Linked DNA regions of Lonchura striata. The protein of the gene in region 1 purifies or fractionates together with the protein of each later gene. This does not show direct contact. Links are inferred from orthologs where the notes say so. Each region holds a gene or a part of one and is shown in the gene's direction. Other genes may lie near its edges. The genes, in order: RNGTT and PPP4R3A.

Region 1 (14,836 bases):
TAAAGTTCTCTAGATCAGTGGTGCTGCAGATGTAGGATACACATCCCTCTCTCTATTTTGGAATGAGGCTTTTTTTGGGAAAGAGTAGCATGTGTTCTTGTACAGCTTGTTCTACAATGCATACCAACAGAAAGTGAAACTAACCTCACAAGAGCAACATTTGAGCATCTGATTATATATATAACCATACTCATACATTACCATAACTTAATTTGCATTGAACATATATATTCAGATTTGATTTTTAAAAAGTCTGTGGGGCTGTCAGGCTGATCTCTCTGCTTTAGTCTGTATTCCCTTCCTTTGCCTTTGGCCAGTTTCTTGGGGTATTTTTAGAACTTCAGGCACCTCAAAAGAGAGACTCTGGTCATAATTTATTTTTGTACAGTATGATACACATATTTTGTATAATGAGGTCTTATAAATAAAATCAGGTCTGTATGTATTTTCTCAGGTACTTTATTATAGCTCCTAGATGTATTATTCTTCACAGGCTATATATTCACATACAAAATCATAGCATATATATCTATAGGTACAAAATTATGATGCAGAAAATCTTAGAGAGTGCCTATGGGTAATAACCTTTATTTGTGTGACTGATTGCATGAGAAAGATTTCTGCCAGTATAATAACCCAGATCTTAATCATCATGTATGCAGGTTTATAAGCTGAAACACTGCCACTCTCTTTGCTATTTCAGGCTGTAGAGAAGTGATAGCTCTCTGACAGCTATTTCTGCCCTGGTCTGCCTCTTTCACTAGCCAGGACTGCAGTTACTCCATTAGTTTTAACCACAGCCTCCAGTCAGGGCAAGCTTTTTACTAAGGTGTCCATATTCAGGCAGTAGAGAAACTAGAAAGTATAGCATCAGAACACTGCTGTACTTTGTGGAATCCAGTCACTCCCCAGCCCAGCTCCAAAGACTATGAGTCATACTTTCCACTTAATTAAATTAGATGAGTTTCTCATATATCATGTCATACTTTGCCCTACTACTAGTCATTTTCCATTGTGACATATTAATTGTTTGATTACTTCATCCATACTCAAAGCACCCTACTACCATATGATTCATTTTATGCAGTAGAACACATATTCTTCAATGTTACATGTGGATATTTTTTACATTGTGGATTTCCACTGAAAATCATCCCTCAGAGCTGATGCAAGTAAGGCCTCAGTTGTCTAGGACAAACTTTAAGAACACTAGGGAGACCAGCGTTAGCCTTCCAGGAATGACAGGTGCCTTGTTTATAAGCTTGTTGTCCAGCTTCTTATCTCTGATACATCAAACACACTATCAGTTCAGCTGAACAGGATCAATAGCAAAGCATCTTATTTTTCAGGCCTGCAAATCAGTGCATGAAGTCACAGCTCTTGTCCCTCTTCAAGCACACCAACCCTCTGGACAGACACCTTCTTCCTGGATAGATCTGCTGAGTAAATCATCTACTGAGTAAATCATCTACAGAGTAAATCATCTACAAAGTAAATCATCTATTAGGTAAATAATCTGCCATGTCTGCATGTCTTGTCTAAGACTGCTAATGTTCCTTGCAGTGTGAGATTTACATGTCATCAGTGCAGCACACACGTTTGGTGTTGTAGACTGATTTGATTCACTTTCCAAGTGAATACCTACACCACAAAGTGGAAAAATAATATTATATTACTAATGTTTGCATACAGCTATGGTGATTACCCCAAACATAATACCCAGTCCAGGGACCCAGATTTAAAGCAGCTTTGCCCCAGTTTTACCCTGTGCTCCCTGCCCATACAGAGATTCACTCCACTGATTGAACTAACACTGTGATACCATAGAGACTTCAGTTGAAAGGAAGCTTCAAGATTTAAATAAACTTGAGAAGGCTGCATATATAGCAACCATTAGTCTGTTAATTTTATTACTCTTATAAAAAGGAAGGTGTAGTGAATGTCTGGATTGCTTCTGTTTGAAATTTTATTAAGAACTGTATCATAACCTTGCACTAAAGAATGATTCTGGGAGTTGATTTTGCTATTTTATGCGGTTCCCTGTTTACTTTGGACAGGAAAAGTAACTGTATTTTAACTTACATCTTTCTCAGTCTGTGAGGTTGTGATGCCCCCTAATGTCACAAAGACTAAAGACTGGCAATTTTGTTGCTGACTTTCTTTCTCTCAAAGCTCTCTGTAGAAACAACACTGTAAATGACATTTTATTTTCTCAAATATAGTATGGCACTCAAAACTTTGTTTCAACATCCCTTTTTCATATTGTACACATAAGGAATAAAATAACTTTCTTTTTAAGTCTTACTTTAATTTTCAAACCTGAAAACATAATTTGTCTCAGAAGTTAGGTTCTTAAACATTTGTTGATACTCAACAAATAGGAGTCAATTTAAAATGTTACATTCCTAGAATTTTCTTTTTAAGAGTCAGTGAATACTCATACATTTTTTAATTTAGAAGCTTACATATGTATTAGAGAACATAACCATAAGCAACCATAATATTAACTTCCGCTGAAATCTAAAACTATGCTTTAATTTTACTATTTTCAGGGTTTTTTTTCTTATGATAGCATTAGAATGTAATTACTATTGGAATAAAATACAGCTACAGTAACAAAGTTAAAATATTTATTCAGCAGTACTCACCCATCCCCACAAGATTCATGCATGCTGAAATCAGTCATAAAGGAATACTGTACCCCTAAGTCAGTTTGCTATGAACATTAAAACCAATAAGCAAGGAATAAATCAATTTAATTAGTAAATAAAAACCATATTTTTCTATGTTCCATATACTTGTAAGCTTATTGCATTGTCACTTTCCAAGTGAACACCTACACCACAAAGTGGAAAAATAATATAATATTAATCATGTTTGCATACAGTTAGCTTCTTTCACAGTTACTTTCTCTTAATTAAATTCTTTTGCAATCTCAGTTTAGCTGAGATTTAATCTGTTTGTTTGGGGGTTTTCGCTTGTTTCTTTTTTCAAGAGATGCATTTACTAGATAGAGTCAGAAGTGGCTGTTTCATAGAGCATCCCAAGGGGTGTTGTTCTTATTGCTTTCATTATTTTTTTATGAGCACATGGAAAATAATGCCATACTGAAGCATAAGAGTAACAGGGTCATTGACCTGTGTCACTATAGAAGAGGGCAACACCATGTGTTCTGTCAGGAGAAATACCTAATTTATTAATTTTCTGTAGAACAGGTAACTTACATTTATATTATAAGTAGCTACATAATTTATGACATTAAAAGTGTGAAATTATTAATCAGCAACAATTTGGGTAAATGTTCAGTATGTAATTAGGAAAAAGAGTTAAAATGTGTGTGTGTCATTCCTGTGTGGAATGTAAACTTTTAATGGTTTAAAGTCAAGAAAGAAAAAAAACTCAGCTCCCCACTACCTAAACCAACATGGTTGAGCTGAAACCAAAGCAGTGATACCCATGGCACAGAGAATGATCTGCATCCTGGGAAAATGACTTCTTTACTGTAGTGTCTGCTCTGCCAGGAAAAGGATTAAAACTGGTGAGCAGAAACCAGAATTAAGTGCACAAGCATCTATGTACCTCTAAGATAAAAGAAAATTGATATACAGTAAAGAGGAATATTATATAATTGACTATTAACACTTTGCATTGTTTTCTCAAAGCAATCTTTGAAATGACCACTACAGCCACCCTCACAGTCCTTGTTCAGACACAGCCATGTCAGCTTTAGAACATCACAGGAAGACATGCTGGTACACCAGAAGACTCAGATTAACTGTTGGTATAAAGGCAAGCAGGACATGCCTGTTCACAGAGTGTTTGATGTCACATGCAAACATCACCAGATGCCTGTGCAAATAGTGGCAAGGTGTCTAATATGGCAAAGTATATATATATATATGCATATTACATGTTACATCAGCTGTAAACAATTACTTGCCTTATGCATTGCTAAATAAAATATATTCTCCCATTTCAACTACATATTATATATAAAAATAATGATATTTCTGATCTGCAACTCTTGATCAAAAGTGTATCAGACACTTAAATCTAGGTGATGAGAATCTATTACTGCTCATTCATAATATCTTTTTGTACTAATCTTCCCCTCTCCAAATGGTTTCATTCCTGATTTTGCCATACTGCTAACATTACTGCAAGTTGCCCATAATTTACTGAAATCAGATACAATCTTGCTGTTGCTCTTTGCTTCTCACTTTTTCTGAGCATGCCTTGCACTTGGTTCATTTTCTTTTCCAGCCAGTCTTTGCCACCACCTAGTGTCTGACTTTTTGCTTGTTTGTTCTGTAAAGGAAATGATTTCAAACAGCATAAAGTAACAATATAATGGAAGTGCATTTAGCAGTTAGGGAAAATAATATGATTAGTCTTTTGCTGTAGCAAGACCTTCAATTTTAGCTAGGATGAGAAGATTAGTGTCTGATGGTGACAAAAGCCTTAGAAGACAAAATTCAGAAACTTCTAACATAGTACAAGAACCTAATGACTCAGTTATGCAAACTACCTAGCTGAATACCTGAATTACTATGAGAGGATATTCTAGGGAAGAAACTATGTTTAATAAAACCCAGTTATAAAATGTGTGAGGAAAATGTGTAATAAAGTTTGTAATGAATGCTAGATGGATAAAATTATTTTCATTGTTTCAATGTATTCACAGAACCTAAGGGCTTCCTATTAAGTCTGTACACACAGCTCTGGTTAGTTCTGCAAGTTGTGGCCCCTACTGATTTGCAAAGGCAGCACACCTGGCTTATGGCAAAACAAAAAGTGCAGACAGAACAGTACTGAAATGTAAATAACTAGAAAATTAGGTAAAAAAAAAAAAAAATCTATTGCTGTTGTTTCCTAATGCTTCACTGAAGCCATCTGTACTGATTTTTGGCAATGTAACTAAGATCACAATTACAAGGTGCTTATATAACTTGAGTTGTAAGAGATAAATATAAGCTAAATCATGATTTTTTTATATACAAATGTAACCTGATATATTTATATAACCTGATATAAATATAACCTAAGTCATTACTTTTTATATATCTATATAACCTGAATCATAACTTTTTATACAATGTAATGGCTAGTATATGGTTAACTATATATATTTTTTGTCTATTCAGCTTAATGCTGAATAGATAAAAAAAATAAGAAAAAACTCACCAGGTGGATAGTTTTAGATATGGATAATTATAATACTAATGAAAAATTGGCAAGTACAAAGCCAATTAGCCACAAAATAAAGAATTTAGGTCTGTTAAGACCGGACAGACAAAGGAACACTGTAACTGTGCATGCTCCGAAGACAAAGTTGAAAAGTTCAGATGTGAAGAAGACCTTGGAAGCCTTCATCAAAGACCCCCAAACCGGGGAGGTGCAAGTGCAGTCCAAAAGTATGATCTAATAACCATGAGACCAAACAATGTAAATTAGTTCTGCCACATATATGATGATGTTGTAGTGACATAGTGATACTAAGCAACACTTACTGTATGACTATACTACAGCACAGACAAGGGTGGGTGAGTTAGGTGGAGACATCCCTCTCACCACCAGTGCTGCAATAAACCAATACCTGCTCTATAAACATCGGTCTATGGGGATTTATTTCCAGCCCATCTTTCAGACATCACTGAGATAGTTAATTTTCATTGTAGTAGCTTGTAGGGTGCTACATTTTGCATTTGTGACCAAAACAGTATTGGGAACATTGGGATGCTTTAGCTAATGCTGAATAGATCTTGCACTGCATCGAGATATTTTCTGCTTCTCATGCTGCCCTGACAGCAGGCTGGGGGTGCACAGGAATTTGTCAGGGGACACATCTGGAACAGCTGGTACAATTGACCCCAACTGACCAAAGGGATATCCCAGACCATATGATACTGTGATGTAATAATCAGTATGTAATGATTCTCAGCATTAAAAAACAGGAGAAAGAGTGGACATTTGGTGTTTTTCTTCCCATGTCACCGTTGTGAATGATGAAGCCCAGATTTCCTGGAAATGGCTAAACTCAATTCCTTAATTTTCGTTACATTTATTTCAGCCTCTGAGCTTTCTCACTTTCACCCTTCTGATTCTCTCCCCAGTCCTGCCACAGGCCGGAGAGGGTAAGTGGCTGTATGGGTTTAGTCGGTAGAGGAGTTAAGTCAGGCCACACCTTAAATGTTCCTTCACATGGACAATTACTTCAGGGCTACAATTCTTCAGCTGAATCCATGTAACAAAGCAGATGGAAAATTTTCACTGGCATTCTGCATGGAAACAAAGTTTTTGTTTCTCTCTGCATGCCATCTTTCTGGGTGTGCTTTTTTCACAAAAGAGAAGGCTCAGGACAGAGGTATCTCTGCTACACTAGCAAGTCTGTTACATCCTGATTAGAATATGCTGCACTACTAGGAGGATCTACCCACTTCCACATCCACTCCTGGCTGTGAGAGAACATCTGGCAAAAAGTAAAAGCTGAGGAATTATGTCTGCCCAAGCCTCCAGCTATTTTCAAGTCAGGCTGTTTCCCAAACCTGATGCAGCCTGCTACTTTAGTAGCCATGGATTACACTCTCTTTGAAGCATCTGCTCAGTCTTCCCTGAGACCTGTGTAAACTCTGCATTTGCAGCAGCCTTTGCTGACTGCTCCTGTGGCTGGACAAATGATCCCCCCAGCTGCCCCCAGGTCCTGTTACTTTCCTGTAGTGACTCGGAGGGACTCACTGAGAATCACAGAACCGATTAGGCTGTAAAAGTCCTACGAGACTGAGTCCAACCTATGACCAAACACTATGGCATCAAGTGCCACGTCCAGTCTTTCCTTAAACACCTCCAGGGTGACTTCACACCTCCCTGAGCAGCCCATCCCAATATCTAATCATCCTTGTGAAGAAATTCCTCCTAATGTCCGGTGTAAACCTCCCCTGGTGCAGCTTAGGTCTGTTCTCTTGTTCTACTGCTGGTTGCCCGGGAGAAGAGGCCGAGCCCCAGCTGGCTGCAGCCTTCTCTCAGTCAGCAGCAGAGAGCGATACGGTTCCCCCGGAGCCGCCAGCTCCCTCAGGCGCTTCTTACAGAACTCGCGCTCCAGCCCCTTCCCCAGCTCTGCGGCCCCTCTCTGCACAAGAGGAGGAGCCTGCAGCAGCGGGCGGCCAGCTGCCCTGCCCGGGCGGAACGAGGCGCCGCAGCTCAGCCGCCCTCCTCCCGGCCGGGCGCCGCCCCTGGCCGCGGGGCCCGGAAGCGGAAGCGGCTCCCGGCGCTCCGTGTGCGGCGGCGGCCGAGGCGGGCCGGCTCTCCATGGAGGCGCCGCGGGCCGGGGGCCGCTGAGCGCCCCGGGGCCGCCCCGCGCCCCCTCCCCGCCTCCCTCCCTCCCCCGGGGCCGCCCGGGCCCCGCCATGTCCTACAACAAGATCCCGCCGCGCTGGCTCCACTGCCCCAGGAGGGGCCAGCCCGTGGCAGGTGAGCGCCCGGCCCGCTCCGGCCGTGCCGGCCGCGGGGCGGCGGCGGGCGCGGCCCCTCCGCTGCGGCGCCGCTGCCCGCCGGCCCCGCTCCTCCTCGCGGCCTCTCGCCTCTTTGTCCCGGGGCTGCGGCTGTGCGCTGCTCCACCCCGAGCTCCAGGCCGCTGTCTGTCCCGGACCCGAGTCCCGTTGGGTGGCTGTTCTCCTTAAAGCCCGGCCCGCGGCAGCAGCAGGGCTTTGCCTTCAGCGCCGGGCTCGCCCTCCCCCCGGGCTGTGCCCCCGTCTGACACGGACTCGCCCCGCCTCACCCAGAGCTGCGGGGGTACGGGCCCTCTCCTGCCCCCCGGGGCCTTAGTGCGGAGCTCTCGCTTCGCAGTGGTTCAGTTTCGGGCTGAAACTTTTCCTGTCTGTCACATCTGATGAGAGACGTGACAGCCAGCCATGCAGAAGGTGCCGTACTGGAGCTACTAAGTTGATGAGAGGCTTCGAGCATTTTTCTTAGGAGAAAAAAGCTAAGAGAACTGAACTTGTTCAGCATCGAGAAGAGATGACTGAGAAGGGATCTCATGAATTTGTATAAATATCTAAAGGGGTGGGGGGGTCAGGAAGATGGAGCCAGGCTCCTCTCAGTGGTGCTGAGCAGTAGGACAAAAGGGAGTGGGTAGAAACTGATGGACAGGAAGTTCTACCTGAGCATGAGGAAGAGCTTTACTGTGCAGGTGACTGAACTGGAACAGATTGCCCTGAGAGATTATTGAGTCTCCCTTACTGGAGATATTCAAGAGCCATCTGGATTTAGTCTTGTGCAATATGCTGTAGGATGACTCTTCTTGAGCAGGGAGGTTGGACCAGATGACCCTCTGTGGTCCCCTCCACCCTGACCAATTTTGTGATACCAGTCCTCTGCGCAGCCTCTTCCATGTTTGAGTCTCTTTTTCCTGAATGCTCTGAAGTCTTACCTGTGTCAATTTGTTATTCTGCTAACTGATAGTGCCCTTCCAGTCACCAATGTGCTCCTGAGTGCTTTAGCTGTGTAACACTCCAGTGTTACACTTGTATTTCAGGGTTTGTTAGTAGTTGCTGTCTTCTTGGATATTCTTGCCCATGATGCACTGTCTTGGTTGTTACTCAGTAGCAAGTCTTCTGGCATATAATGGCAATGAATTCATTATCATCTAAACACGCGTTTTTGATTGTGTGTTAGCTATCATTCTGACTTCAGGTGAATGTTTCCTCTGCTGCCTGGTGAGATAAAGTAAACAAGTGTGTCTTTTCAGTTTTCTCAAGTTCTTCTTTTCTTTATAATGCAAGCACTTCCTGCCTACAGTTATTTTTTTTTGCCATTTTTTTCTAGTTTTCACTCCTTTCATATCCCTCTCTATGATGATGTGAAGGTATTTTTTCAAAACACGACATGTTCTACAGAGTGTGTTATTTAAACTGGCACTGTGCCATGATTTGCTTAATAGGTACAACTCTTGTGTTTTCTATCCCACATTTCCACGTCATCTTACATTTTTTGATGGCAGCTGGTTGTGGAATAGAAGACACTGATGACAATATTTAGAACCTGGTGAGACATTTCAGTTGGTTTAATCCTCAGTAATCATCAATATGCATTATTTGGCATTTGTCAGTATTTAACATCAGTTGCTCATTTTATGGGTTACTGGTTTCCATCAAGTTCCTTACACTTCTCTGAACTTGGCTCAGTTAAATAACAGTGTTGTTGGATGCTCATGTCCATTTTCTCCTGATCATGGCCGCACACATTACTTTGTATCTAATGAGAGAAATTTGATAGCCTAAGCCTTTGACCATGACAAAAACAGACTAATGATTCTGTGCTCTTCTTCTCAGCAAGTTCTTGATCTCTGTTAGTTGTGGCTTTTTTTTGTCTTTTGAGCCATGGTTTCTCAGAAATAGCAACCTAGAGTAAGCATGAATGAGGGTCATCAGTGTGTCATCTGCTGTGCCATCACTGCTTGTGTGTGTATATTCAGGAACTGCAAGGTAATTATTTTCCATTCCAGGCAATCATGAACAGGAAGTTAATGCAAAGTGAAAAAACTGAAAGTGCTTGGCTCATTTCTTTGTGTGCTTTATCAGGATGTGTTCTTATTCACCTTTTACTTTTTTTAGCGTGAACAATATACCAAAAGTAAAGGTATGCCACTGATCTTCCCTTTTTTGCTGTTTTACATTCAAAGACATCTAGCAGTTCTACATGAGAGGATTTTTAGGGTTTAATTGATGTTGGTACTATCTCCCAGATGTTACATCCTAGTTTTAATTAGTGTTTAAATCTGATTTCTAAGCACCTGAGTGCGACTTTATTTCCATCTGATAGTGTATTAGTAATAGTGCTGCTAAAAAGTTTAGTATGGCTTCTGTGTACTCGTATTCATTGAGTGTTTGATTGTGATGCTCTTGTGTCATAGTTGTGGCATCTAGGATTTCTAGATGACCTCAAGAAAAGTACTAATGAGTCCTGAAACTCTCCTGTTGGTGAGACTGGGTTCATTCAGGTTAACAGGGCTCTTTATCCTGGACAATGTGAATTCATCTATGTCTGCCATTATTCGCTTCTTTAAATATTGGTAGTTTGTGCCACTTTCTGGTTTTATCCTCAGAATCGCACATTTTCACATTTATTGCATTGTAGTAGAACTTCAGTAATTTTGATGAAAGGAGCTTTCCTCTGAATGCTAAACTCTGAAGTGATCAGGTTGCTTCAGCCTTACTGCCTTGGCAGCACCATCCCAGCAGGTATCTGCTTTTCATGACCACTGAAAACCCATTCTCTTGGCAATTTTGCCATGAAAAGTGCTAGCAAGATACAGAAGAAGAGGCATGAAAAGTGTCTCAGCAGTGTTTTCCAGCCTCCTTCTATTGATGCATATTAATAAATCCTGTTCTAGACACACATGTAGCATGCAGAACTCTGGGATATTATGGAAAGCATCCATATTGCACATGAGAAAGCACCTTAAATAAGAGTAATGTTTCTGGTTCAGAAAGTTTCTGAGCTATAGCTTGTTGTTGGGGAGAATAATCTGGATGATGGATTGTCATTGGCATTATTTTACTCTCTTTCCTAGTTGTCTGTTACTGGTCTATGTTGGTGATGACATACTTGGTGAAATGGATGCTTAGATCCAGCATAGTTCTCTTGAATCAGAAAACTTTGTAGAAATACTGTGGTTTTTTTAATGGTGGATTTTACTGTTTAATTTTATTCCCTTAACCTCACACTTTACCCAGTCTAGCCTTCCTAATCAATGCTCAATCTAAACATACCATGGTCATACTTAATTATTTATGTCATGTTTTGAGTTGATAGCTTCATGTCACAGGAAATCAGGCTAAATTAAGAGTATTTTTTCACTGGTATGCTCTGGATATATGCTCTATAATATATTATATTTGAAGGTAAAAAAAGTGACAAAGTTAGAGCATGTACATGTAGAAAATGTGATACCTTACATTGTTTATTTTGATTTCCTTCAGATTTATCCACTCGATGTCTGTGCTCTGATATACTGGGCTCTTATTTTTAGAATTTTTACCTGTTTTTCAGCCTAAAGAAATACCATCTGTTAGACAGGTAACTAATTTGGAAAATTAGTTTTTAGTAGCCATTTTCCAGAACTATTTGAAAAATTTGAACATAATTGTCGAAGTAGGTAATAATCTGTTGTCAGGGTTCCAGTAACATTTTGAAGTTAATTTGGAAATTCTATTGAGGAGTTACAATTATTGTCATAATGGAGTTGAGGTACTTGAATGATTTGGGGTGCTTTGATGTTCATGTAAAGTATCACTTTGTTACTGTTGGATTTCCTAATTCAGCAAATGAGTTTTTAATCTTCAAAAGGTTATGCAAGGCAGCTTGAGTTGCAATCAGGTATTACTGCATCACTTCTTTAGCACAAGATGTAAGGTAAAACTGTAGAAGAGACCGTAGCTACTGCCTCCTTTATACTTGTCCATATTACTCAAAAAGCTTAGAAACATTTTTAGAATTAGAGCTCAGATTTTCAATAGCTTGATGATGTTTTATGAGAAGCTTGTATGCACATGGGGAAGAAGTTTTTTTAAGCATCTGTACAAAAACCAAATAGCAGATTTTCCAGGTAGAGAAGAAGAAACTGGAATTTATAGAAGCTGAGCACCTAAATACTTCCAAATATCTGTGTTTCAGCTTTGAAAGTCATAGTAAATTGGCTCTATATGAAATATTCATCACTTCCACAGCTGTCTGTAGGCATTCAAATGCTGCAGGGGATGCTGACTAGACAACTTTGTCTTTTCCTGTCAGTGAACAGGAATGTATTTTGGTTGCTCAAAAAGAAATCAGACACTAAATCAAGGTTTGCTACTAGGAAGAGAATGAATGTGTTCATTCTCTGTTCCTGAAGATGGAGAACGGGAGAGTCTTCTGTGCGACCGCACAGTCTCATATCAGATGCTACAGGAAACAATTGTAACCTCTAGGCACTTTTCGCACTCTTCTCTTTTCCCAGCATCTTGTAAAGGATGGTGGTTTTCTTATGTAGCCATTGACTCTTTCATCAGTGCTGCTCCTGTTCTTGAGTGCCATGGTTAAAAAAGCTTAGTTACCTTCTTTGTGTTCCATAATGAATGAGCAGATATGTTAGTATGGGTGTGACAAGTGGCAAAGTCAAAAAACTGTCAAGCATGATGTTGTTTCTCAAAAATTAGGGTGATGATAGATTTTTGAGTATAGATCATGTAAATTTAGGATTTGCGTAATCAGTCTGCACAGAGGAATATTGCAAGGTAAAGTGGAAGGGCTAGCAGAGAGAGGCTGAATGATAGTGTTGGAGGTGACAAGGAACACAAAGAAGCAAGAAAATTAGTTGAAAAAGAAAAAGGTAGTTGAAGAGCTGGGGAAATGGAGGGGAGGTATCCAACCCAACAGCTTTTACCAGGGTGGGTGGAGGGTGTGTAACTGTTGAGATGAAAAGGCAAAGGGCAATAAACGGAAATTTTTCTTACAGTCAAAAAAGTTGAAATTATTATAATTTATTACCATTTAACATGAGTGTTGATTGTATGACAGAATAACTCTCCTTTTAGCTGTAAATTTTGGAATGATCTCAAGGGAAAAGTGAGGCTGTTTCTCATGTTGCTCACTAACATCTAACCTGAGCTAACCAGTTGCATAAAGCTTCATAGTTTCCACATCTGTCTGTCTTCTGTGGTTTCTAATGTTTATTTCATGGAAGATAGATGCTTATTTGAGATTATACAGAGTGTTCCTATTTTTTTTTTTTTGCAGGGATCCTTACTGTATGTTATATTTGCAGGTAATCAAAACTGATGTTTACATGATTGGATGACAAACTGTTATTTTAAAATGCTGTTTTCATGTTTTCAGCTCTACTGAGTTTAAATTTTCTATACTCTGTTGTGTTGTAGCCCTCCCGACTTTAATTACACTAAAAGTTAGCAAAAAATGTTAAATTACTCCATTTTAGATGAACTGACCTGTATTTCCCTTAAACTTTTAAACTTAACTTGTGAATTCTGAGAACTCATAACTAAAAAATATTCAAATTTACTGTTGACTGTAATTCTTGAAGGGGAATGTCTAAAGCTACTCAGCATGTTGATTTGAAAGGCTAAGTTGTAACAGTACGTATGCATAAAATACTGCAAAATTTTATTATCTTTCATAGGGAAGTTTTTACCTTTGAAGACAATGTTAGGACCAAGATATGATGAACAGGTTGCTGAAGAAAATCGTTTTCACCCGAGTATGTTATCCAACTACTTAAAGAGTCTGAAGGTAAAGTTAAATTTTCTAATAATTGAAACATTGTTGTCATTATTAATATTTATTCAAGTGTTGCTTTTCAGATCTAAGGAAGAAGTTGTTGATGGCTTTGTTTGGGACACCAGTACAGAAATATTTTTTGTTCATTTATGTTTCCAGGTCTCCTCTGCAACTAATGGATTTCTGAGTGTTTTCTTACAGGTTAGAATTCTCAAGACTAAACAAACCCAGGTCCCTCAGCTGTTCCTCATAAGAGACCCTTCATGAGCCTTGTTGCTCTTCTCTGTTCACCCTTTAGCACCTCAATGTCTTTTTTAAAGTGAGGGCCCCAGAACTGAACACAGCACTCGATATGTGGGCGCACCAGTGCTGAGTGCAGGGAATGATCACTGCCCTGGTCCTGCTGGGCACACCATTGCTGATACAGGCTGGGTACCATTTGCCTTCTTGGCCACTTGGGCAGCACAGCTTTGGCTGATACTGAGACAGCTGTAAACCAGCACCCCTGTGTCCCTTTCTGCTGAGCAGCTCTCAAGTCACTCCTCCTCCTGCCTGTAGCACTGCCTGGGGCTGCTGTGACAGGACCCTGCACTTTGCCTTATTAAACCTTGTGGCATCCACCACTACAAACTTGTGGTTCTGGCTCACTATTTCATTTTCTGTTTTGCCCATTTCTATCTGTGTGCTTCAGTTTGCATGTTGTTCTGGGCTGTAACAAAACTGTGACAATGCAGGTTGGAACAGGACCTTTCCAGCCTTTCATGTAAGTCTCTGTACTGTTGTGGCCAGTCTGGTGCATCTGGAGATGTAGGAAATGGGATTAGAGCCTGCCAGGCAAAGAATAATTAATTTAATTGGTTACTAAACTTTGTATAGAAGTTTAGTGCCATTTGTTCTGATTGTGTCTATGAGATGAATCATGCAAGTGGTGTTTTTTCTGTGGGTTTTTTCATTAGGTTTTGCTGTTGATCGAGGTTAAATTCTGAATTTGTTTAACAGTATCAGACCTGAAACATCAGAAGAATTCGGTGACTAAAAGACGGGAATCCTCATTTCATTAATCTTACTTAAGTTTAGGTATGAAGTAGATAGTGAACTACTCAGTGTAGCGTGGTAGGAGCACCTGTGCAGTAATGCGATAAGAAAGTACGATCAGTGAAGCATATGTGCCTGTTCTCAGTGCTTGAACTGGTAGGATTTTTCTTGTTAGAGTTCTTGCATCTGTGGTTTTATGATCCACTCTAATCACAGAGGATCAAACAGAACTCTGTGAATAAAATGGTAATAATCCTGAGGGTCAAAGTATTTCCTAAAAGAAGATTAAAACCAAATGAGGTTAAATGTTGATACCAAAAAATGGATACAGTTTATTTAACAGTAAAAGAAACAAAGAAAAAGAGACAGAAATAGAAAAAAGAGGTAGGTGGGGCACAGAAAGGGTGACAGAGACAGATTGAATAGAAACATATCGCCCTTTCATGGGTCCCAATGACATCTTGCTGCTCCCCTCTTGGTCTTCTTGGTGGGCAGGGTCCTTCACCACAAAGTATAGAATCCAGTGGATTAA
Region 2 (15,703 bases), on another chromosome or scaffold:
GTGTACTACTACTAGAAAAATGCCATTTAATTTCCATTCCAAAAACATCTCCTCTTTAAATGGCTGAAGTCTTGTTTTGCTAACAAGTTTTTGTTTTATTTTGTGAAATGTGTGCATTTGAGTTTAAACGTCTATAAAATTGTGCAATTTGTCATGTGCTTAAAATGCAATTGATTAACAAAACTTACATCTCCTATTAAATTAATATTTCTGATTTTCCCTCATACTGTTACGTTTCTCATGTCCATGCCTTCATCAGAGTTTGTGGCTACAGTGGATTCTCTATACTGTTATTTTGCAGTATTCTTTCTCCTTTGCCAGTCCTCATGCCTACAAAGAAGCTGTACTGAACTAAATGACAAGCTTGTGTGCTGGAATCACCAAAAAGCCACTTCCTGGGAAAACTGAGAACAATATTTGCAATATGAAAAAGAAAAGTACCACACATGGGATAAACCAGAGGCTGATACATGCCAATTGATAGGAGAAGGTTTTCAAGGCAAGTATAAATCAGGAAAGAGAAGGATAGGAAAAGAAACTCTGAAAATGTATTTGACTTGAAGGGGAACCAAGTTGTGCTGGACCTTGAAAGCACAGAGATTAGTCCTATAGCAGGGAACATGGTACAGCAGAGATTTTGATAGCTATGAGCAGGATGGCAGGTGAGAACACAACCAACCTTAGCACAATTCATCTGGGTGTGCTGAAAGGAATTGGGAGGAACATGGTAGAGATATAAAGAGGGTATGAGTATGAGTAAAGGAGGGAGATGAACTTGATTGGATCCATGGTTTCCTCGGTGAGGTCAGGAAAGGGATTTAGGGCTGGTCCATGTCATATATAAAAGGTAACAGGAAAGTATAAATCATAATCCCCATGATTTGGGATTATGAGAAATGAGAAGCACAGAGGAAAGCAGGAAGGGATCAAGGTTTCAGCTTTACTGACTGGAATTAGTCTTGTTTTCTTTTATCTCTAGTTGCCCCAGAATCCTCTCATGGCTGCAAAGGACTAAGATCTTTAGGTGATAAAGGCTCTATGGTGGCTGTATCAGGGGACTCAACAAATGCCAGCTGGCAATTCTGTTGTCCCCATACAAGTACATTAAATTGAATGGCTATATTATACCACATATCTGAAATTATAGGACATCAGGGACCCTCAAAGATCTATCTACCAGAGAACAGGTGTTTACAAGATTTTTTTATGCAGAAGATTTCAGAAAATTTAAAGAATTCTCACCATACTCTTGTAAGTCAGTATTAAACACAAATAAAGACAGAACTGTGATATATTCGTACAGATTATATGTTCTCTCTTTATTATTTTCTCAGGTTCTGTCACTAATGAAAGCCATAAACATCACAAATAAATCCTGAATGTTAATTAATTTAGATAATTGTTAATGAATATTTAATATCTATAATTCTAATAATATAATAGCTAATTTCTATAACTGACAAGCTGCAGTGATGATTAATGAAATGGTATATACTTACACTGTCTTTGGTAGTAATGTCCAAGTGTTGGTCTAGTTGTATTTATTTAGGACTATTCATTCTCCCTGTGGTTTTAGCCCTATTGTCCTGCACCAGCCAGTGCACAGCAGAGCTGTGTCACTGCCATCACCCCACACTTCAACACCCTGGGGTGTGAAAGATGCCAGACCCCCTTTGCACCTCACTGTTCCAGACCCTCCTGGCACACACGCCATTCCCAACCTTCTTCCTCCTGCACATCCGCTGATAATCCCCACATGCCTCTAATGCCTTTGCCCATTAGTCACAGAAGTGTCTGACTTGAGAGCTCTGCTTCGAGGCCACCTATGCTGTGCAACAGACACTTGTAGTAGATTAGTACATTGGACTACCAAGTTTGATTTCAGCATCAATGTTTCCTTGCAGCAGAGCCTTCCATCACTTTCTTCAATGAGCTATGAGAAAAGAATCATTGTTCTTGTTTTGACCATCCCACCTACTTGCTGCTCCTCAGTTCTCATTTTGGAGGGGACATTAAACAACTGAACTTTGCTGACTTTATTCATCTTACAGATGTTTGCCAAATCCTGTCTCGAGTGTGGACCCAAATCCTATCGCTGGTGTCAACCAGAAGAGAGGTAACATACATGGGAAAAGAGGAGGCCAAGGCTGAGTGTAGAATCAGAAGAATTTCTATGTTGCTACTGAGCAAACCCATTCCACAACAATTTAGGTTGTTTTTCTAGGTAACAATAATACCAAAATCTCCAGTTTTGCATTTGGTCTACTTAGCTTTGCTTTTAGCTATAGAAGGGTTGCAAAGTGAGGACAGTGCACATTTTCCTCCCTAAATGCTTGGCCTGTTATTGCAGAGCTCATCTACAGAGCCTGGTGTCAGGTTCTCCCCTCTGCTTTGTTGGCTTCAAATGCAAAATGAAAGACACTAGAACCAGCTAAGATAATTAGTAAAATAATCTCTCGGATAATTGGATGTGCTCTCAATCTATTTATATTACTTACTTGCAACTTGCACCACAATCATTCCTATTCTGTGCAAGTCTTGAATTATTTGCATCTCTAAGACTATCATTGTCACAAACAGTGAAATGACTCATAAAATTTTATTTTAAAATTGGAAAACCAAACATATTTAAATTGCTGTCAGTACAATGGCTGATTCTAAATTACTGTCTTCAAAAAACTTACCTGCCTCCTGGTTTTTTCATGTTTCTGACATATTTTTACATTTATTACACTTTATTACATACAGATACATTGTCACTTTCACTAGCTTTTGTCCAGGAACCTGATCCTAAATTTACACAGGTCTAGTCCAGTCATCCCAGATGACTGCTCCAATTGAAGTACCAAGCTGCTGAGACACTGTGTGTGTAAGGATGAGTGTCCACCTACCTGTGTCCATGTGCCGCTGTCTTGTTCTGGCTCTGACAATGTGCCTTCTCCATCCCTTTTGGCTTTTCTCCCTTTTTACTCTCAATCCACCTATGTAGTTCTTATTTACACAAACTGGAAACAGCTTCAACAGTTTCCACACTCACCTCAGCATGTGCCTAAGGTAATGAGGAATTTATTTAAGTGAGAGTTTTGCAGCTGATAGTAATTTTTAGGTGATTAGGTAGAGATATAATAGAAAAATTGAAGTAATTTTTACCCTTCTGAGTTTCTGATGGATTTTCAAAACTTCCTGGAAACAAAGTTATGATGTGGATCTCATGCTTCCTGTGTCTCTGTCCATCACTTTCTCAAAAGACCAACAAATGTATGGGGCTAAGGGAAGCCTGTTGTAGTCTGAGCTATGGATGAAGTACTGGAAACCTTATTTAAAAAAATACTTGGGAGCAAAAATTAGGAATAGGAACTCTGCCATAGAAAAAGAAAAAAAAAATTCAGAACTCTTACTGAAATGTTACAAACACAGTCAACAGGCAAAATAATACATGCAAAAACATAAATATGTACTGCATAGGGACAGCCAGCACAATTCAGATGTCTTGGAGTTCCCCTTGCAGAAGGAGGGGAATTTTCACTGCTGGATGAATAAATGATGCAGACACGTTCTCTGTGTCAGCAGTGCTTTGAAATTCTTCAGTCTGATGATAATGAGGCCTACATATTTAGATAAAGAGTAGCATTTTCAGAGAAGCATACAGGAATTCAAAACAAATACAGACTTTGCATGACTGTGCAGTTGCAGAGAACTCCTGAAAGAAAGCTTTGCTTGGAAGACAAGGGTCTTTTCAGTACTGTGAAAATTAAGATGACAATAGGAGGTTGAAAGAAAAGAGATGACATTTTTGTTAAGGAGATTCATTATGTAGGAGGAAGAGTCCCAGATTCTTAACTGCTGGCCTTCACAGATTCATCTTTGTGGTTCAGGTACAAGAACAGAATTACTGCTTCTCAGGATCTGTGGCAGGATGTGAAAGTTGAGTGGCAGCATCTGAGATATGATTCAGAGGGTGTGGCTGCAAAAGAGTGCATGCTGCAGGAATCTGAGATTTTGGAGTGTGACAGATGGATGTGCAAAAAAATAAAGCTCCTCAGAGCAGTCCTTTCAGATCCATTTCAATGTCTTAAAATTTGTTAACCATGAGGACACCAGAATTATAGAATGTGGCATTAAAGCTACTTTTATTCCTGATGTTACATTCTTCCACAGTGTGCTAGTTTACAATCTGTCCAAAAAGCATATTATAGGATCTTACAGACCCAGAGCAGTATCAGAAGTTTGTGTTTGGTTGCTTGTTTATTATGCAGCCTTGCTTCTTTCAGAGCTGCCTTACTATTTATTCCCATAGATGTGACCCTGTGTTTGGCTGTATCCGAAAGGTCCTGTTAGGACCACAGCCTGACTGCCTGAGCTGCTTATCCATCAGGTCTTGAACAATCACTATTTACAGCTCAAAATTTTATGTGAAAGTGTCATTGCTTGCCTTAAATTACTGGGAGGCACTGATGAGCTCACAAACATTTGTAAAGCTGGAATAAGCCGGAAACAGCTGTCAGTAACCTTCCCAGCTGTCCCAGGCTAGGATATTCTTTCTACATCAGCACCTTCAGGAAGTGAAGCTTTCTGTTTCTGACCCTTATAGCCTCATCCATTTCTTGCCATTCTTCCAGGCTCTCTGAGTCATACACAGCTTTTATGCACAGAGATTTTACATTGACTTTCCAAACATTAAAAGAAATCCTAACTACCATCAGTCCTGCTCTTGATTTCTCACAATCATCTAGGATCATCTCCACAGATCAATAATTCCTTTTGAGCTATACCAGTCACCTCAAATGTGACCCATGCAATGTGAGCTTTCTTCACAGAATACAATTTTAACTTTCCAGAAAAATACCTGAGAACTATCCATGTATATCTGCTCCATTACGCTTATGAGCAACATTGTAATTTAACAATAAATTAAATTTTTCTTGCTAAAGCCACATCAGCTGCTACTGCTATAAGCCCATCTTTATTGCATTCTGTGTGAGCATTTATTGTCTGTGACTGATGTCAGATAAATCAGCCTACTATTACCTGGGTTCTCACTTGTTCAGTTTGAATACTAATAGTCAGTCTTCATGTCTTCCAGAATTTCTGCAATAATTTAAGCTTTATTAAAAGTTAATAATGTTTCATACTTCCTGAGATCACACACACAAGCCTCTTTAGGACTCTCAAATTCAAGTTTTTTAGGACTTGTATACTTGAATAAGTTTCTCTCTAAGAGAAATTGTTTAATATCCCTCTAAATAATGACTAGGAAAGAACTTAGTCATCATTGTATGATACAAATATATTGCACATTCTTTCAAGTATAAAATTTATTTATTAAACAATTCCATTTTTTTGGTAGCAATATCAACATTTTTAAAATCTTGATATAACAGGCCTATAAGAGTGTTAAGATTTAGGAAACATGAGCTGTTCCTAAAACTACCAACCATGCAAATTTATTGAAATCCTTATCCATTTTTTCTGTGCTTCATAACTTGTAATGATTGCTAGGTTTGCTTTTTGTCTACTGTATGTATTTATTTTAAACTGCTTTGTTTTCTTCCCCACTAAACTAGAAATATATTTTTTCTGAATCTCCCCTCTTCTTGATCACAATATTCTGACTCCTGTACAGACATCTTCTTTATAGCCTCCCCCTATTATGATAATTTTTCCATTTAATTTTTTCTTTGCACTCAGTCATTCATTTTCCACAGGTTTTTGGGGCACAAGTCAGAATACATGCCTTGGGAACAAGAAGACATAGAGAGTGTCTGCGTGTGTGTAGTATGGATTGTAACCTTGTTTGCACATACTGAGTATAGCCAGATCTATATACTCAAGCAAGTACAGACTTTCATTCTAGCAATAATCTTCACCATAATAAAGTATATAATAATAAAGTATGAATTATACTTTATTTATACTCTATTTATACATAATAAAGTATGAAGTTGTTAGTTTCCCTAACATTTTTTTTTCTTTTAGAAAATAGTTAGCTAAGAGTTTTAGGAACTCTAATAATGCCTTAGTATATAGAACCAAATTTATATGTGTGACCTGAAGTTATTCACAATAACAATGCAATTTTCTTTCCCAAAATTATTACTAGACACTGAAAAAAAAAGTTATCTTGTTCTTTATTCTTGACTGCTGTGCAAGAATATGGTAATCCCATATTTACTATGGTAAACCCAGTTTAGGCTTATTCCTATTGCATTGATCTATGTATAGTTACTTTCCTAGGAATATGAAAGTTTAAAACAGTATTCAACATTCCATTTCATCATTTATTACTTGGTTCCTGATGGGCAAAAGTTTCTGTCAGGGCTAGGTCCTTTATTATTTCTGGGAACTAAAAAGGTTAAACATTTAAACTCAGTGTTAATAACAGCCTCTCCTCATGCCTGAAGATATTTCCTTCTAGACACAAACTTTCAAACGAGTAGAAATGGAGAGAAGGCATTGAGGTGTGACCTGACAGACTTGCTTTCAAACTCATTATTCCAAGAAAAATAAACAGAATGTTTCTTTCTTTCCCAGCTAATTTCCAGCATGGGAAGTTGCTCTCAATGCCCAACCTTTTTTTCTGGAATGACTGGGGTAGAAATGTTAGGAAAAATAAAACTCCCTTGCCAAATATAATGAGAACTGGGTTAAAACCTGACAAGTAGGCACTATTGTCGGATCGAGCATTGTTCAGTTGTTCAAGATAACTCAAGGCCCATTAAAAGAAGCTGAGCCCAAAATTTGCATTAAGCAAACCATGCAAACTGAAATCTGATTAAGTTCTTGTTTTCAATTCACAAAAAAACAAAAAATTAAAAAAAAAAACTGCAGTGAGCAGTGCGGTCTTTACTTAATCTGATGGCCACAAGAGGGTACAATTTGTAAATGGTACGTTAATATAACAGTCCTACAAGAGTTTTCTCTAAGTGACATCAATCTTTTCTGAAGTCACAAAAATCCATCTCCAGGTTGGCCTGAGGGAGATTTTGGCACAGCACCTGCCCAGATACAGCTCCTTGAGAGCTGCCCAGGAACAGCCCCTCAGGAGCTGCCCAGGCCTGTGCGCGTGCTGTGCGGTGCTCCCCTTCAGCCAGGCCCACAAGCCACAGCTCCCGGACACCTGAATCTCTTCAAACCTGTCGCTGCTTTGGCCAAGAACACCGCGCTGAGAACAAGCACAGCGCGCCTTCAGCGATGTCCTTAGGCACCCAAACAACCCTCTCAAAGGTTCTTGTATTCTTAACCAGCCCTTGGGCATCAGAGCAAAGGCCAAATGGCTGTGTCTGGGCACTTCAGGAACCACAGAATATTCTGATTTGGAAGGGACCCATCAGGATCATCAAATCCAAGTCCTGGCCCTGCACAGGCCACCCCAAGAGCCACAGCATGTGCCTGAGAGCATTGTCCAACGCTCAAGCTCTGCCAGGCTGCTGCTGTGACCCTGGGATCTTGCTCAGGAAGCTGCCTATCAATCCTGCTGGCATTGTCTTTCAACAGGCCAAGCAAAATAGAAGATGGACAAAGGAAAACAGGACTTGACTAGAGGATTCCTTGTGATACATAATTAATCCTGGTGAAAGCTGCAAATGTGTTGTTTGGGCTCAAACCACCCTCAATACAACTCACTTTGATAAACGAGTATCAGGACTTACTCAAAGGCATAAAATAATAGAGTACATATTGCAGTGAGCTCCCATGTACAGTGACTATCTATAAGGTAGTGTGAAATGGACTCTTCTGCAGTGGCGCTGCCGGGTCCCAAATGCACCAGCGTTTTCACATATTTTAGGGAAATCTGTCAAACATATGCTCAGATATTGGCAGCAGCCGTCAAGCCTCGACAGCTTCTGATATTGGAATTCTTTTATCCCATCTATGACTGCGGAGATCCAACAGATATTCACCAAAAGCCGTTTAACTTTGGGATCACTCGGCAAGATGTGACAGGAGAGAAAAAAAAAAAAAAAAAAAAAAAAAAAAAAAAAAAAAAAAAAAAAAAGTCTAAGAAAACGTCAACTCCGGGGCCCGCCGCGCCAGCCCCGGACCCGCGGTAACGGCGCTGCCACGGCCGCATGCGCGTCCTCCGCGCGGGGCCGCTGGCCCTTTAAATGCCGGCGGGCGGCCCGTGCTGCCGCTGGCTGGGAGACCCCGCGCCTCCAGTGAGAGGTGAAACCAAGATGGCGGCCGCGCACTGACTGAGGCGGAGCCGGAGGGAGCCGGGCCGCACCAGCCGCTGCCGATCGCCCCCTCCCTCCGCAGGGCACAGCGTTTCTCTGCTGGCCGGGCCGCCGAACGCCTGGAAGCGCAGCCACATCTCAAGGCGCGCTGGGGAGTCGGGACTGAGCCGCCGCAGCACCAGGAGGAGGAGGAGGAGGAGGAAGAAGAACATGGCGGCGGAGTCAGGCTGGGAGTGAAGCCGCCGCCTGCGACCGGAGCCCATGGGGAAGACGGGGCGCTGAGCTCGGCTGGCCGTTCACCCTGTCCCCGGACGGGCAGTGTCCGCAGGCCCGGGCAGCCCGGGCGGGAAGGAGGGCGGCTCCTTGGAGCCCCGCGCTGACGGACGGCGAGCGAGGGGCTTCGGGCCTGGGCTGCTGCTGCACAATAGAGCCGGGCTACAGGCCGGGGCGAGCGGCCCCGCTCCCGGCTGCGTCCCTTCCTCTGATTCCCTCCGGCCTCACCAGCTTCCCCCCTGTTTTCCTCGGCAGGGCTCCGGCTTCCAGGAGCGCCTGCTCCTGTCACGCTGGGCCGGCTGCAGCCCGCCGCCGCTTCCACTACCGTGGATCCCCTTCTCCTCCGGAGTCCCTCCTTCGCCGCCTCTCCTGCCTGCCCTTCGCCCTGCAAAGAGCCTCTCTCCTCTCTGCGGCTCTCCCTGCCTAGGTTTACTCGCCTTTTGTGCAGCGCCTGACTGTACCTGAAGGAGCAGCTCCCCTTTTCACATCTTCACCTCTTGTTTCTCCCTCTTCCCCAATCCTCTTGTTACCCTCGATAATGAGGATCCCGTTGGGGCACTGAAGAGGAGTAAGAAGAGCTTGCTTGGCGTGCCCGTGTGGGGCTGCTGCCTTCTTTTCCGCTCGCCTCCCCTGAGGGGGGCCTGGCCCCCGAGCAGCCTTGTGCTCCTCCAGCGGTTGCCAGCCAGAGTGGTGGCTGCGGTGCGGCAGGCGGCAGGATGACGGACACCCGGCGGAGGGTGAAGGTGTACACGCTAAATGAGGACCGCCAGTGGGATGATCGAGGCACGGGGCATGTGTCCTCTTGCTACGTGGAGAGGCTCAAGGGCATGTCCCTGCTAGTCAGGGCAGAGAGTGATGGTAAGTGTACGGCTGAAGGTACAGTCTTTCCTCGTCCTGCCCAGGAAAGGAACTGGGTGTAGCTTTGTGTTTGTAGCGTTAATGTTTTGCTGCATAATTCAAATGGTATTCCTAAAAGCAGGCAGGCACTAACCAGGGTTCATTCGTGCTAGGCCAAGTGAAAGAAACAGGAGATTGCCATCAAGTGTAAGCATAGTAGGCACTTAGTGCGTACACAGTGTTGCATGCAAAATGCGTTCGAGTCTCCTTGTAAATCTTGCATGGGTTTGGATATCTACTGGTCTGGTTTCAAAACTGATCCCTGGATCTTGCTGGAAGTGATCCTCTCATGAAAGTTGTTCAAAACTTAGATCTTGGGTTTTAGTATTTGTTTTTAAAAGATCGTTGGATGGCTAATACCCTTTTGTGTCCACTTGCCCTTTTGGTAGCTTTTAGAATTATGTAAGACATTCTAACAGCTATCAACGGTTTTCAAAGTACAGTTATGGTAGTAAAGGCAATACAAGGGGCAGAACAGCATTTTCAGTGATGCCTTTTTTTTTTTTTTTAATGGGATGGGAGTACTCAGTCCTTCAGCAATTGGTTTCTGGTAGCATATGTCAGGAGTATATGTTAAGAGTAATATAGCCCTGTAGCTACATGTTTGGGCTAGTCTTGACTATTGGTTAAGTGAGTTCATGACTGCTGTGATCAGAGATTTAGAATGTGTACTTCACAGTATCAGCCTTGTACCGTTTTGCTTTTGAAGTCTGTCAATGCATGACTTACTACTTCATTAGATGTATAGCTACTGTATTTAGTGACATGTAGATCTAGTTATGCTTTTGACTGTCAACAGACCTTGTAATTTTATTTATTAAGCTTTTTTATTGTAGGAAGTCGGATGAGAAGCAACTTGAGAATCATTAATCCTTACTTTTTGGGAAAGTTCTGATAAACTGTACAATATGTAATGCTTACAGCAAAGATCATAAACTGATATGGAAAAATCAGTCATCTAAGCAGGATTTTGATAATTGGGTGTCTGATAAGCTCTCGGATCTCACAGATTTTTGATTATACTTTAACAGGTTACACTGGCACCTGATTTTTATTTATTTTACAGCAAGGAAGATACATTTAAATCTTGAGCAGCTTCATATAGCAAGAGAAAGCATTCAAAATGGAAATAAATTTAATTTAATTTCAACATGTGGAGGGAATTAAAAAATTTATCACTAATTTTCTTTGCTAATTTTTACAGTATGTGTTGTTGTAGATACTGTCCTGGCTGTTGGGGACATGTTTAAAAACTGTTCTCTCCTATATATTAAAAATTTTCTGTTTTTTAAAAAAAATTTTAAAAATTCTTTTTTAGAAAAGAAATCGAAAGACCTGCAGCTCCTAACCTCCTTGTAAAGAAATAGCTAATTTGAACTAAAATCCATTTATTAACTTTTAGTGGGATATGTGTGCTTCAGTCTCATTAAAACCTGAGTTGCACTGTTGGTGCCAGCTCTCTTGTAAATAAATGAGCATCTGTAAGAGGGAAGATACAGACTGGTACTAAAAACTAAAATTAAGTCATTGCTTTAGCTGGCATAGCTAAGATACTCTAATCAAAGCAGGAAATGTCTCAAACTTACTAATTGCACCAAATACACAGATATTTATTTGGTAGGATATACACTTTAGACCTCTCTCTACTGCATACTTTCTACTTCAAAGTATTGAATAATACAGTTAAAATTCTTTATATAGTAGGTAATATCAGTCCTGAGTAAATGTCCACTCTAGTAATAGGCTAGCTTTTCTAACTTGCTTGTGTAGACACCTCATAAAATTTGATTTATATTTTGTTTACTCCCACTGTTGTTTGTGGGCTAATTTTGAAGGCAGATAGTCATTTCTACATGTGAGCAAATTATTTGGAAAAAGGTAATGCCATACCTGTGCTTTACATAGTGTGCAATTTGTGTTTCCTTGCATGCTTTTTTAACTAAATGCAATAGTTGATTGTGATTTTTAACTTTTTCCCAGTTAACCAAGACATAAAAGTAGTATGAACTGAGTAGTAGAAACTGACCTATACACCATTTGTCACCATGTTGCCATTGCATTCTTGTATTGTCTTTCTTTGTCAGCTCCTCCTCTTTCCACAATGAAATTTCTTCCTTCCTGCATTTCTAAACCAGCTTTTCCTAGCCTTTGAGCTGAGATTCATCCTGTGCACACTGGCATATTCTTACTGATTTACTCCAGGAAGCTGACAGAAAACCTCGGGATCTGCCTGAAGGTGAAGGCTCCATTTCCTGAGCAGTTTCCTTATGTGTGTGGGAAATTCCCACTCCTGTTAAAGGGCCAGTTTGGCTATGCACAGATCAACAGCAGAATTGCCAGTGGTTTCTTTGGCTGACCATGTGGGCTAGCACGTGGTTCAGTCTTTGGATTTTGCAGCTGTGACTTGGTGTAGTAGGCTGCTTTACAAGTGGTTGAGATTTTATTGCATAGTCAGGCTGTTCAGATAAGGGAAGTACAATCAGTGTGCCACATCCAATGTAAGCTGTCCTTTGGAATTGGAGGAATAAGAACTGAGTAAAAGGAGTTTTTATCTGTAGCAGTGATTTTTTTAAACTTGTGTGTGCTGGTGCTTAACACAATCATAAAAGAAAATCATTTAGAGTAGATGAGTGAGTTGTGTTGTTAGCTGCATGTCTAATGTTGCCAGGCACTAAACTGTTAAGAGTCATTGCAGACAATCTGGAATAATCAATTTTAGAACAGAAATACCATAAACTGCTTTCATATCAGGTATGTTATGCTTTGAAGCATGAAATTGTAATTTTTTTTTTACACTATAATAGGTATTCACTTTTTATTTAAAACCCTGAAAAGTTTCTCTGTGTGATTCCTAGTTGTAATGTATCCTACTTGAATTGTAGCAGAGCAAGTGTGAAATATTTTCTTACAAATTATCACCTACCGTGTGAGTCTGTGTGTAATCAAAAGCCTTTGATTTCTTACTCATTTCTGACATGGTATTTTAGCCTACTGTGGCCAGCCTTATTCTTAAAGTGTCTGTGCTTCTTGGGGTTTACTGGATGGTTTCAGATCACCTTGTTTTTGTTCTGAGCCCAGATGTCTGAAGTGACAGTTTCTGTTCAAGTAATTTTTGTTAATTTGAAAGCTTAAACCTTTTATTAAAACTTACTTGTCCTGTATCTAAAGTTTTTGACAAGTGAAAGTTAACCCCTCCACTGCAGGCCATATTTGTGAGCTCCCTTTTAGGAACTCTCATCATTTTCATTCAGAAGTTGTAGTTTGCTGCTTCTGAAGTGTGTATGTTAATGACTTCTGCCACAGGGCAAGCACCTATCCTTGCTGTTTCTGTAGTGCAGGTATCAGTAAACCTGTACAACTGGCAGGCTTAGACAAAACTTGGCTTAATTTTTTTTTACCTTGTTCAAACTAAAGCGACTGATTTTATTGCCTTTTTTTTTAGGTAAGCAACACAGTATTTATCTTGTATCAAAGTGGGAAAAAGCTTGGGGGAAGATGACTTGGGGTTTTTTTTGTTTCTTTTCTCCTGGTTCTCCCCTTTCCTTAATATTTGGGTTTGGCCCTCCAGAAGTGTCTTAGACTCAGGAATATTCTCTTGAATTTGTAGAACACTTTCTCGGGCCTCAATTTCTTGAGTTTGAGGATTAGTTTCTGTGATTGGGTTGCAGCAGAACTAATTGCAGAACTTAAACCTCTGTGTGCATCTTGCAAGAAACAGCTCTTGAATTGAAACTTTCGTTTAAATGTAAACATGTTTATAGTGGTATGGGGTAATGAGCAGCACTTTTTCTTTTCTGCTTTTGAGGAAGACTCCATGTAACAGTTTTGGTGGGAGAGCAGCAGTGTGCCAGATTAACTGGTCTCTTCCATATGCATATTTGTAAACAAAGCTGCAAATTTCCTGTTCAAGACTGTTGAATTGGGATATTTGATGTCTCCAAATATAATTGAAAATAGCATCAAATATCTCTTTTTTAATATGTAATTTCTTTTGAGCAAGTCTTTCCCTATACCCACATTGCTTCTGCATCACAGAATGATGTTTTCTACTAACAAAACTCCCAGCTGTGCTGTTCTGCATTACAGTGACAGGTAATAGAACTCTGCAAGTCAGTTTTCTTTTTTATAGGTGGTTTCAGATATTATTTTTTTGCTCCAGTGTTTTTCAGTTACCTTTACAAATTTGTTAAAGGGTGTAATTTAAAAAAATAATTAGATATGCATAATTTTGGAGCATTTGCTTAAAACATAGCCTGCATTAAAGTGAGTTTTCAGCTCTTACCTAACTTTGAATGGTGTCATTGGGTCAATGAAGATGAAATTTTGTTGGTGTATTTTTATGAAGTAAACTAGATAGTCTTAAGATTTTCTAGGATACCTCCAGTGAAAAAATACCTACATAGAAAGTAATGCTTCTGACAAAAGCATCTCAAGTGATAATGACTTTGAATGCAGGTTTATTTGTGGTGCGTTATGTTTCTGTAACCTTTTTTCTAAAGAATACATCTGTGTTTCAGATGTCTGTTACTGCTGCCTGGTTTCCACATGCAAGTAACAAAGACCTAACATTAGCTCATACCAGGAAGGGGCCTGATCCTGTAAAATTTAGTATAGAAAATAAACTCACTGAACTAACCTAGTAGATTAGCCACTGATATTTGACTTGTTGAATCATTTTTGGAGAACTTATTGCACAGAGGGAGCATCATATTTTCCAGAAGGATAGATTTGGGGCAGGTATTAATTCTAGAGCACAATTTACCTTTCAGTATGTTTCTATCTCCAGATCAATATTTTTCTTGTTATTGTCCAAAATGGTGAGGAATAAGTTGAATCATGTGGTAGTGAGAAACAACTCAAGCCTTAAAAAGCTTGATTTGTCTTTCCTGCAAGCATCAAGTTTTGTAGAGAAGAAGAAATGCTCTTTTTTGATAAGTCTAGTAAAGAAGTCATTCTCTGTTGTCTGCTTCTAGCATGGAAGATTAAGTGTCTGCATTCAATTGTTTTCAATTTTTTTAAATAGTATTTTGTCAAACATGACATTTAAGTTATGTATGATATTCTTCTAATGTTGAGATTTACATGTCCGTAGGTCTGTGTTCAGCCATTAAAATATGATGTTGAAATTATCAACTACTTTTGATTCCTAGAAGATTTTAGTTCATACTTGCTGATATTAAATATTTCTAGACAGTAAAGACTTTCTAGAAGTTTGTCTGCCAATTTTTTTACACAAATAATATTTTAAATCTTTATGTAGTAGAAGCTGGGACTTGGAAAGCATGACTGACTCTGCGTATCTGATGATTGTAAAAAGGAAATGCTCAGTTTAGGTGTAATTTAGGCATAGTCTAAATTCAAAGTTTGAGACAATGGCCAAAGGATGAGCAATGGATTGGATTCATCTGTAAACCTCATCTTAGATGTTTTCCTTCTCTGTCCTGCTCTATGGTTTTTGATTTATTTTTTTTTTTTTCTTTAGTTATGCACTTACTCTTAAGCAAATAAGCTGCTTTGGTAACAGAGCTGATGTGTGTCAGAAAACTGAAAAAAAACTCAAAAAAACCTGAATAGTATATTTGGGCTTGAGGCAAGAGAGCTTTTTCTGTGTGTCGTGTTTTCCCTTGAGTGGTATTTATTTCAGTTTTGTTGTTGAATTTTATTGAGTTTGTAAACAGCTTTTACTCCAAGAGCAGTTGAGACAGGGTGATAACTTCTCAAGCCAACTTCATTAGTGAAAGCTGCCTCCTGTAGAGCAAAAGACTTAGAAATTGGGAACTAGCAGCTTTCACAGGTACATTAATTTGAAAAAAATACTTAATTGTATTTGATGATCACATACATAGTAAGCTAGTGGATATAAAATTCATTGGTAAAGCTTCTAAATTCATCAAGTAGTAACCTTTCTTATCAGGCAGAATGTTCTGATATTCTGTAATTCTTTAATGATACACCACTCTTACAGCAAATGAAGTTCTGTGATCTGGTTCTTCAGTCTCTTGCCTCACATCCCCCAACCTAACATCTTAATCAGTATCAGACAGGGGGATCGAGTGCACCCTCAGCAGTTTTGCAGGTGGCACCAAGCTGCAGTGGTGTGGTTGGCATGCCTGAGGGACCAGATTCCATCTGCGTGGACCTGCACAAGGCCGAGAAGGGGGCCCTTGGGAACCTCAGGACGTGCCAGGTGCTGCACCTGGGTCAGGGCAGCCCCTGGTACCAGTCCAGGCTAGGGAATGAGCAGATGGAGAGCAGCCCAGATTTTTGTAATACATTTGCCTTAGAACTATAGTGATGAAACTGAGAAGTTAACACTTTACATAAAGTTTGGACATATCTTAAAGCCTAAATTTAACCAG

Evidence for each region.
Region 2: the proteins of RNGTT (region 1) and PPP4R3A purify together in Homo sapiens (affinity purification with mass spectrometry; 3 studies listed by BioGRID and IntAct, with this or other methods). This does not show direct contact. The link is inferred for Lonchura striata from reciprocal best matches to the Homo sapiens genes RNGTT and PPP4R3A.

The regions. Positions count from the first base shown.
Region 1 is NC_134605.1:78,267,865-78,282,700, forward strand, and holds the start of RNGTT (mRNA-capping enzyme), read left to right. Parts: upstream 1-7,340; 5' UTR 7,341-7,403; coding exon 7,404-7,467; intron 7,468-13,171; coding exon 13,172-13,281; intron 13,282-14,836.
Region 2 is NC_134608.1:16,525,611-16,541,313, forward strand, and holds the start of PPP4R3A (serine/threonine-protein phosphatase 4 regulatory subunit 3A), read left to right. Parts: upstream 1-8,152; 5' UTR 8,153-9,163; coding exon 9,164-9,305; intron 9,306-15,703. UniProt on the Homo sapiens protein: Regulatory subunit of serine/threonine-protein phosphatase 4. May regulate the activity of PPP4C at centrosomal microtubule organizing centers.